Linked DNA regions of Saccharomyces cerevisiae S288C. The protein of the gene in region 1 binds, or shares a complex with, the protein of each later gene. Each region holds a gene or a part of one and is shown on either strand. Other genes may lie near its edges.

Evidence for each region. Proteins that work in one complex are often made in the same cells at the same time.
Region 2: RPS12 (region 1) and RPS27B share a complex: the UniProt entries of both Saccharomyces cerevisiae proteins name them as parts of the small ribosomal subunit.

The regions. Positions count from the first base shown.
Region 1 is NC_001147.6:1,026,252-1,030,652, forward strand, and holds RPS12 (40S ribosomal protein eS12 RPS12), read right to left. Parts: upstream 2,375-4,401; coding exon 1,943-2,374; downstream 1-1,942. Other genes in the region: SCP1 (Scp1p), read left to right, coding at 1-358; RAD17 (Rad17p), read left to right, coding at 592-1,797; GTPase-activating protein MRS6, read right to left, coding at 2,932-4,401. UniProt on the Saccharomyces cerevisiae protein: Component of the ribosome, a large ribonucleoprotein complex responsible for the synthesis of proteins in the cell.
Region 2 is NC_001140.6:146,569-150,285, forward strand, and holds RPS27B (40S ribosomal protein eS27 RPS27B), read right to left. Parts: upstream 2,102-3,717; coding exon 2,099-2,101; intron 1,549-2,098; coding exon 1,303-1,548; downstream 1-1,302. Other genes in the region: ECM12 (Ecm12p), read left to right, coding at 2,657-3,112; YHR022C (uncharacterized protein), read right to left, coding at 3,007-3,717. UniProt on the Saccharomyces cerevisiae protein: Component of the ribosome, a large ribonucleoprotein complex responsible for the synthesis of proteins in the cell.

The DNA of each region.
Region 1 (4,401 bases):
CTCTAAAATGCCATTTGTTCAAATGGATCAAATTTCCCAATTTTTATCATTTTCGAGAAAATATGGTGTGCCTGAAGATGAACTGTTTCAGACAATTGATCTTTTTGAGAAAAAGGATCCTGCCATTGTTTTCCAAACGTTGAAGTCACTATCTCGTTACGCCAACAAAAAACATACAGATAGATTTCCAGTTCTAGGACCACAACTGTCAACAAAGAAGCCAAGACCCCCGGTTAAGTCTAAACCAAAACATCTACAAGATGGTACTGGATGGAGCACTTTTGAATACGGTTATATGAAAGGTGCATCTCAGGCTACTGAAGGAGTGGTGTTAGGACAACGGAGAGATATAGTTTAGAGAATTATTATTAACACTTTCTCTGGCAGAAATTGATAAATAAACATTTAAGAACCCTATATACGCAACCAAAGTTCCTTTGATATATTTTAGTTTTCCATCAAAGTTTTCCTACATAAACACTAAGGTGGCTAGAGACGCGTAACAAAAGTTAACGTTACCGGTAAAAATGTGATTATACAAATCAATCTCACAGAACGGTGTGGAAACAAAGTAGTTGAAGGATTTCAACTATGCGAATCAACAGTGAGCTAGCGAACAAGTTTTCTGCCTCAACGGTGCACTTAGAACATATCACAACTGCTTTAAGTTGTTTAACACCTTTTGGTTCTAAAGACGATGTGCTTATATTCATTGATGCTGATGGGCTGTCATTTGTCAGGGAGAATAATCATGTGATAAAAATCCAACTACTGTTATCTCGGGAGCTATTTATGTCTTATTCGTATAGAAATGAAACTGAGGATCACATGAAACTTTGTGTAAAAATAAATCATATCTTAGATAGCGTTAGCGTGATGAACAGGAATTCGGATGACATTGTTGAGTGTACTTTATCTTATGATGGACATGGATCACCATTTGTACTAATATTTGAAGACTCGTTCATTTCTGAGAGAGTGGAGTACTCTACCTACTTAATTAAGGATTTTGATACTAATGGACTAGAACTCGATAGAGAAAGGATAAGCTTTGAGGCAATTATTAAGGGCGAAGCCCTTCATTCAGCCTTAAAGGATCTAAAAGAAATCGGATGCAAAGAGTGCTATGTATATGCAAAGACCGAGGCGAATGATGAGAATGTATTTGCCCTGATATCTAAATCTCAGCTAGGATTTTCTAAAATAAAATTACCCAGTAACAGATCCATACTAGAGAAGTTACAAGTATTTGACGGAGATTCCACAACAGTAATAGATGGTTTTGCTGTAATTGGGTTCTTCGATTTCACCTCGTTTGATAAAATCAGAAAGAGTACTAAAATTGCAAGCAAAGTCCTTTTCAGGATGGATGTTCATGGCGTATTGAGTGTAAATATTCTAAGTCAAACAGACGATGTCATTATCACTGATACTACAAGACCTTCAAATAATCGACCAGGTAGTATTCGCCAACTGCAGCTACCCAAGGATTATCCCGGTATAGTAATTGAGGTTTGCATGCTAGAAAAAGAATCCATAGATGAGGCAGCACAGACAGAAATAGAACTCCTGATGGAGACTAATGAACTTGGCAATCGTAATAGTTTTAAAAAATCAACTATAAGAAAAAGATATGGTACAGATAAAGGCAATGAAACTTCAAATGACAACTTGCTGCAATTGAATGGGAAAAAAATTAAACTACCATCTGAAGAAGAAAACAATAAAAACAGGGAAAGTGAGGATGAAGAGAATCACTGCAAGTATCCAACAAAGGATATTCCTATATTTTTTTAAGTCAATATCCAGCATCGCAGAAAACGCAGAACTTCATTCAGCATTTGGTAATTTTATAACATATAACTTACAATTAAATAAAAGTTTAACTATATATTATTATGTGATCTAACTCTAGAAAAAGTACTAATGAACATCACACCGTTTATTGTTGGGAGAAGTGTTCCATGATCATGGACAATTCATCAGTTTCAGCACCCCAGTTCTTGACAACAACAACGGAGGCACCGACAACCTTTCTGGCGTTACCTTCACGGTCGATCTTACCCAAACCAGCCCATTCACCTAATTGCTTAGCATCAGCAACCTTGATCAATGGAACCTTGTTTTCTGGGTCGTTAGCCAAACCTTCAACCAACTTGATAATGTTAGCTTCAGTAACAGAGCTGACCAAAACAACCAATAAAGCTTCACCTCTGGTTAAAGCCTTGGTAGATTCTCTCAAACCTCTAGCTAGACCATCGTGAACCAAAGCGGTTCTCAAAACAACCTTCAAAGCATCTTCGATAGTAACTTCGGCAGTTTGTTCAACAACAGTTTCTTCTTGAACTTCAACGACTTCTTCAACGTCAGACATTTTTCTTCTCAATAATATATAGTCTAGTTTTTGACTTCTTCGACAGTAAGATAATTAAACTGCTCCGTGAAGAGTTTTGAATTGGGAAAAACAATTGAACAAGGAACACTTATAGACCTGTTGTGATAAGAGATGACATAACTTTTATAATATGTCCTGCGGAGAATTCGATGAAATTTTGCAAATTGTAAGTTTGCTTGAAAGTTTGCTTGCGGGTAAGGTATTCTGAAAAAAATAAAATGATTCCACAATGGAAATGTGAAGATGTTGTAAACAAATCAAATGTACGGATGCACAATGGTAAACAGTACTGGATTTCTTTTTATATCACCGTTGAGCCGAAACAAACCCCGAAATAACCATTTAATATGCCAAGATGTACAAACCTCGTCTTTGCTTATTCAACTGCTACATTCGCAATACCTCAATAACGAGGTGCGTATATACATGAAGCAGAATTTTTTTTTACATATATATACTATTCATTAACTTGTAAGAAGACATTAATCACCGTTTCCTGAAGGGAAAAAAATACTAAATAGAATATGTCTTGCTCGTCATATCTCCATTTCACCTACAAATTCACCGGAACCTTCCATATTGACATCGTCGTCATCGTCTATGGCATTTTCAAATTGTTCCGCATTAGCAACGCCGCTAGCCTGTATTTCATCCTCATCTTCAAAATCTAAATCGAAGAAGTCATCATCACTGCCAACTATCTTTTCGTATAAAACTTTGGCTGCGGTGACTACTTCATCATACGATATCTCAGCAGAAGGCATGGTTGTATATATGACGCCATTATCACTCGCACCGGGAATATACTTTTTTTCCAAATCTTGATTTACATCAAAGAAGGAGGAGTTAACTACACCAAAGGGTGGCGTGGATGTGTATTGGGTATAATAAAGTTTAAATAAGAACTGTAATCTTTCCCTAGGAACATACTCCTTAAAAGATTGGCCTAACTTAACTGAATTTACTATTGTATGACCATTTCCCGTTAGTTGAACAATTTCTTCGTCGTTCTCTAAACCTGAAGACGATTCCCTTAGCAGGGCCATTTCCATAGCTTCTAGAGCGGCATCAATGTCCATTTCAGCACGTGGGCCTTGTTCTGTGGTCGATAAATACCATACAATAGTTCCTTCTGGACAAATTTCGCTGCCAGCACCGAGAATAAAGGCTTGTACTACTTCCTTATTACCAGATTTCAAAGAGCCAGGAGGGAAGACTACCATGGCGGCCGATTCACCCTCATTGAACCATTCAGTACAGGGGTTTTCAACTATACAGGTCAAACGATGAACCTGGTACTGTTGTTGAGGGACATGCTTACTGTCTTTAGGTGCTTGCGTAGGCGATATTATCACTTTCTCTGAAACTTCAACTTTGGATCCATCTTGGAATGTGGCCACTTTAGTTGTAGGGTTGAAGGATACCAATTTCTCATTGAGTTTGTAAGTAGCGCCACCTACAGCGGCAGATCTACAAAACCCTTGCGACAATTCTCCTGGCCCACCATACTTGGAGCATAGTGCAGGGAATGGTCCATAAACATCGAAACTAGTTAGATATCGACGAATCCTTTGTAAAGCTTCTGGTACTTTTACGTTGAGATCATAACATAACCCAATTGAGAAGATTAATTCGAAGACTTGTGGTTTTTCTAATTTAAACTTTTCCCCTAAAAAATCAGACATGGTCCTCTCCGCGTAGGGTTGCCATATTTCCGTTTGTGCTTCCCAGTTGAGTACGAATTTGATAAATTTCATTAAGTTCCTCTTTGTCATTAGTGGTAGGTTTTGATCCGTGAATATTTCTTGCTTTGTATTTGTTAGTTTTTCGAAACAATCATTTTCATAAGTATGGAAATTAGATAAAGATTGGAATTCTAAATACTGGTGAACTCTTGATTTGATTAAGATGGATAATAAATCAGATTTTGCAAATAGGATCTTCGGGGAAAGATCAATACCGAAATCTCTTGAAGAATATTTACCACTACCGATTAGCGTGGATAC
Region 2 (3,717 bases), on another chromosome or scaffold:
GTCTCATGTTGTTCGTTTTGTTATAAGGTTGTTTCATATGTGTTTTATGAACGTTTAGGATGACGTATTGTCATACTGACGTATCTCATTTTGAGATACAACAGAATGAGTGGTATTAAAGAAATAAGGAATACCATAAGGTTGATCAAAATTAAATATTGGAAGGAAGGTAACTAGCTTTTTGACTTTATTATTGTTGGAACTAATAATCATTAATATTCGACACTTTAAAAATTTTTTATAAGATTAATATCGTTGCAATTAATACACCGTTTGTTGCTATGCTAACAATGTGAATACGCACACCGTATATTTATGTTCATTTCGTATATGTTTTTGCATGGGTGTGCCTTTTGCAGAAGACAGAAATGTTGTTCTGGCAAGGGAGACAATAGTTCAGTTGAGGTAAGGCCCTATTAGTTGAACATTAGAGTGCAAGTCATATATATGAGTAAAATGGGTGTCACATTAAATATATCGTGACTACCCAATCTTCTATTGTATTGGTGGTATTTAAGGTGAACTAATCCGCATGTGTTTTATATAATTTCAGACAGAAACAATTATCCTTAGTGAAAAAAATAAGAAAATTCTGGTTCGGTTATTGAGTTATTTTAAAACCTTATTCCTAACAGCAGCTTTCACTATTTCCAGTGACATTTATGCCCGGTATAATGACCATTGCAATAACATGTATACATGTAATTCCAGGTGCATCATTTATGCTTCTGGCACTTACAGTATAGATTTTAATACCAAAAAATGGTATCAGTAATGTTACCAGCGATTTCTAACCAAATGTGACTGGTATTACTATTAGGGTATTCGATGTATCAAATGTTACTATCATTATCACTATTGTGGATATAGTATTGGGCTCTATCACGATACTCCATTTAACTCCTACAAAGAGGTTACGCTCGGATGAAATGCCTTTGTTTAACACCACAGCAGCTAACTGTGGCTACAGGGTCGAGGACTATATCTGCACTTTTATGGTCATTACTAAGAATACTAGAGAAACTTACTGTACGATACAATTCAAATGACAAAACCTCCTCTCCTACGGATTGTGCCTTTGATCATAAGATTAACAATGTCAAGAATGTTCCTCTCCTTTTAAACATCATTGGAAAATTCATTATTTAAATATATAATGAACCTGCCGACCTACTTCAACATCGCCTCCTTAGCGTATCCTTTCCGATTCTAAAAGGTTAATTTAATTGATTAAAAGTAAATTTATATTTATATATTTAGATAAAAGAAGATGATTTTAACTACACAAAAAAATAAATTAACTTACTTTCTTCTGAAAGAAGTACCTTCAGATAATTTGGCCTTACCACCGGTTGGAGTACATAAGACAGTAGAGCATGATTCACAAGTGACAGCAGTTTGAGCATGAGAAAAAACAGTGGTGATGTTCAAACAACCTGGGCATTTGACATCCAAGAAGTAGGATCTTGGGCCTTGAACCAAAGTCTTTAACTTGTGCTTTCTGGCTTCAGAAGCAGCAGTTGGGTGCAACAAATCTTGAACTAAAACCTGTAATGAAATAAATAGAAACGAAAACGAAAGTCGTTTCACAAAAAAATTGATGTTAGTAATTTGAAAACTGTAGGGTTGGGTAGGATACATCAGAAAAGTTAGAGGAGACAGGAAAAAGTGAGCATTTGTGCTCCAAAAAAAGAAGGATAAATCATTACCCAGCAGTATCCGGCATCATGATCCGCCATCTTCAACTGCTATAAGTTTCTATTATTGTTAGATTACCCATAACTCAACACCATATGCTTATCTCCACAGTAGATCTCAAATTTTCTGCTATACAGAGCCTTTCAATTCCCTATCTAAAAATTAATTGCTTTCTTTGCACGTCTTTAAAGTCTCCGTTACCAGTTTAATGCATGATTTGTTGATTTTGCGGAAACGCATACTCCTATCAAATGTCAGAGGTTGATTACTGCTTTATTTTCCTTTCTTTCTTTTTATTTTAGGCTTTTTTCTTCTACTAGAATTTCATCCGAATTCATTCCTCAAATATTGTTCTCTTCTGTTTCCTTCACATCTTATGTTTAATATCTCTTTCACATACCATATTGATCTAATATATATGCACTAATTATCTGGTGTGTTTTCGTATTCTCTAAATAAAAGCAAATGCTATATAGAACTTTTAACGTCTAATATCAATTATAGATAGTGTTAATGACTTGCAAGTTACAGCACACATGAAAGATGAGAGCATACTTACTAAACTGGGCCCAAGAAAGGTCAGCGGGAAGCAGAGGGGAATTGCTGCATTTCCCACCACGTCCTGGTGGGAGTTTCCTTTCCGAGAGCCACATTGCCTAGCTAGAGGAAGAGAGCCTTGGGCGGGGCGGATCCCGTCTAGATGGGTGGCAAACAAAAGTTTATGGTGGCCCGTGTTAAATGCGAACACACCTTCCTTTTTTCTTCTGAAATTTCCCCGGCAGATTTTTATTAAATTTTTTTCTTTATAATCCAATGGTGCATGGGTGAAAATGTATGGGCTAAATACAAGAAAGGATGTCAATATTTCTTTTTTACGCGGAAGGTTATAATAGACGTAAGTAATATGGAAAGAATTTATGGGATTTATAAAATAGATAATAAGTAGATAGCTGTCACAATGAACAGATCTTTTCACTTTCTAATAAAGTACATATATATACATGTTCTTCTTGTTTTTTATTTTCACATTAAGCAGCAGGCTATTATGCCTTTTTTTATTTTTTTCTTTTCATCATTCGACGGACTTTCATTTGACCTTCGAGTGGTAGCGTTTTTAGCCAAGCACGTTTTCGTTGGCGTTTGTTCACCCTTTTTTGTTGTAGGTTTTTTTGGTTCATCTAGAGTAGTTGTTACTGAATGGCTTTCGAAGCTTGTATTACCTCCTCCTCCAGTTTCAATAACACAGGTCTTCTCTTTGTCACGTAAGAGAGGCGAATTCTCCAGCGGATACATCTTGATTATAAACCCTTACAAAAGTTTCCTGCGATCACTTTTAGATTTTTCAATTTTCAATAATACTGCCAAGAACAAATCTTCAACATTTACATTGAACTTGGAGGATGTCTCAAAATAGTCTAAATTGCCTGGCGAGAAACCCAGCTCTTGGATAAATGTTAAAACCTTTTCATGAGTAATTGTTCTTTCCGAATCAAGATCACATTTCGTACACGCTATAATAATTGGAATATCCAATTCACATTCCAAACGTACGTGGTGAATAATACAAATATAAGACTCTAAGCTGGCAAGAGAGCTGTCATTAGTAGAATCGAAACATAATATAATTGCATCAGACTGCCTAATTTGAAGAGTAGTTAGCTCCGAAAGGTACGAAACCTCCATTTGATTGGTATCAAAAACTTGAACATCAATACTGGTGCGTCTTTGAGCAGTCGATTTATTGGCATTGATCAGGCGCTCTTCTAGGAAATTGCCACAACTTTCATAAATTGTGCCAGAGTTTTTAGCTTTGAAACCCGCATAATTCGGCAACTGTCCTTTTACGCCAAAGGTACGATAGTATTTTACCAAAGTATCAAATTGGATTGTCTTGTGGTAGAGGTCCGAAACCCTATAACGATTAGCATCTGATATTTGAAATGAACTACCTAGCCAACTGCGAACCAGAGAAGTTTTTCCAGAATGATCATCCCCCATTACAGTAATCTTCGAAGATTT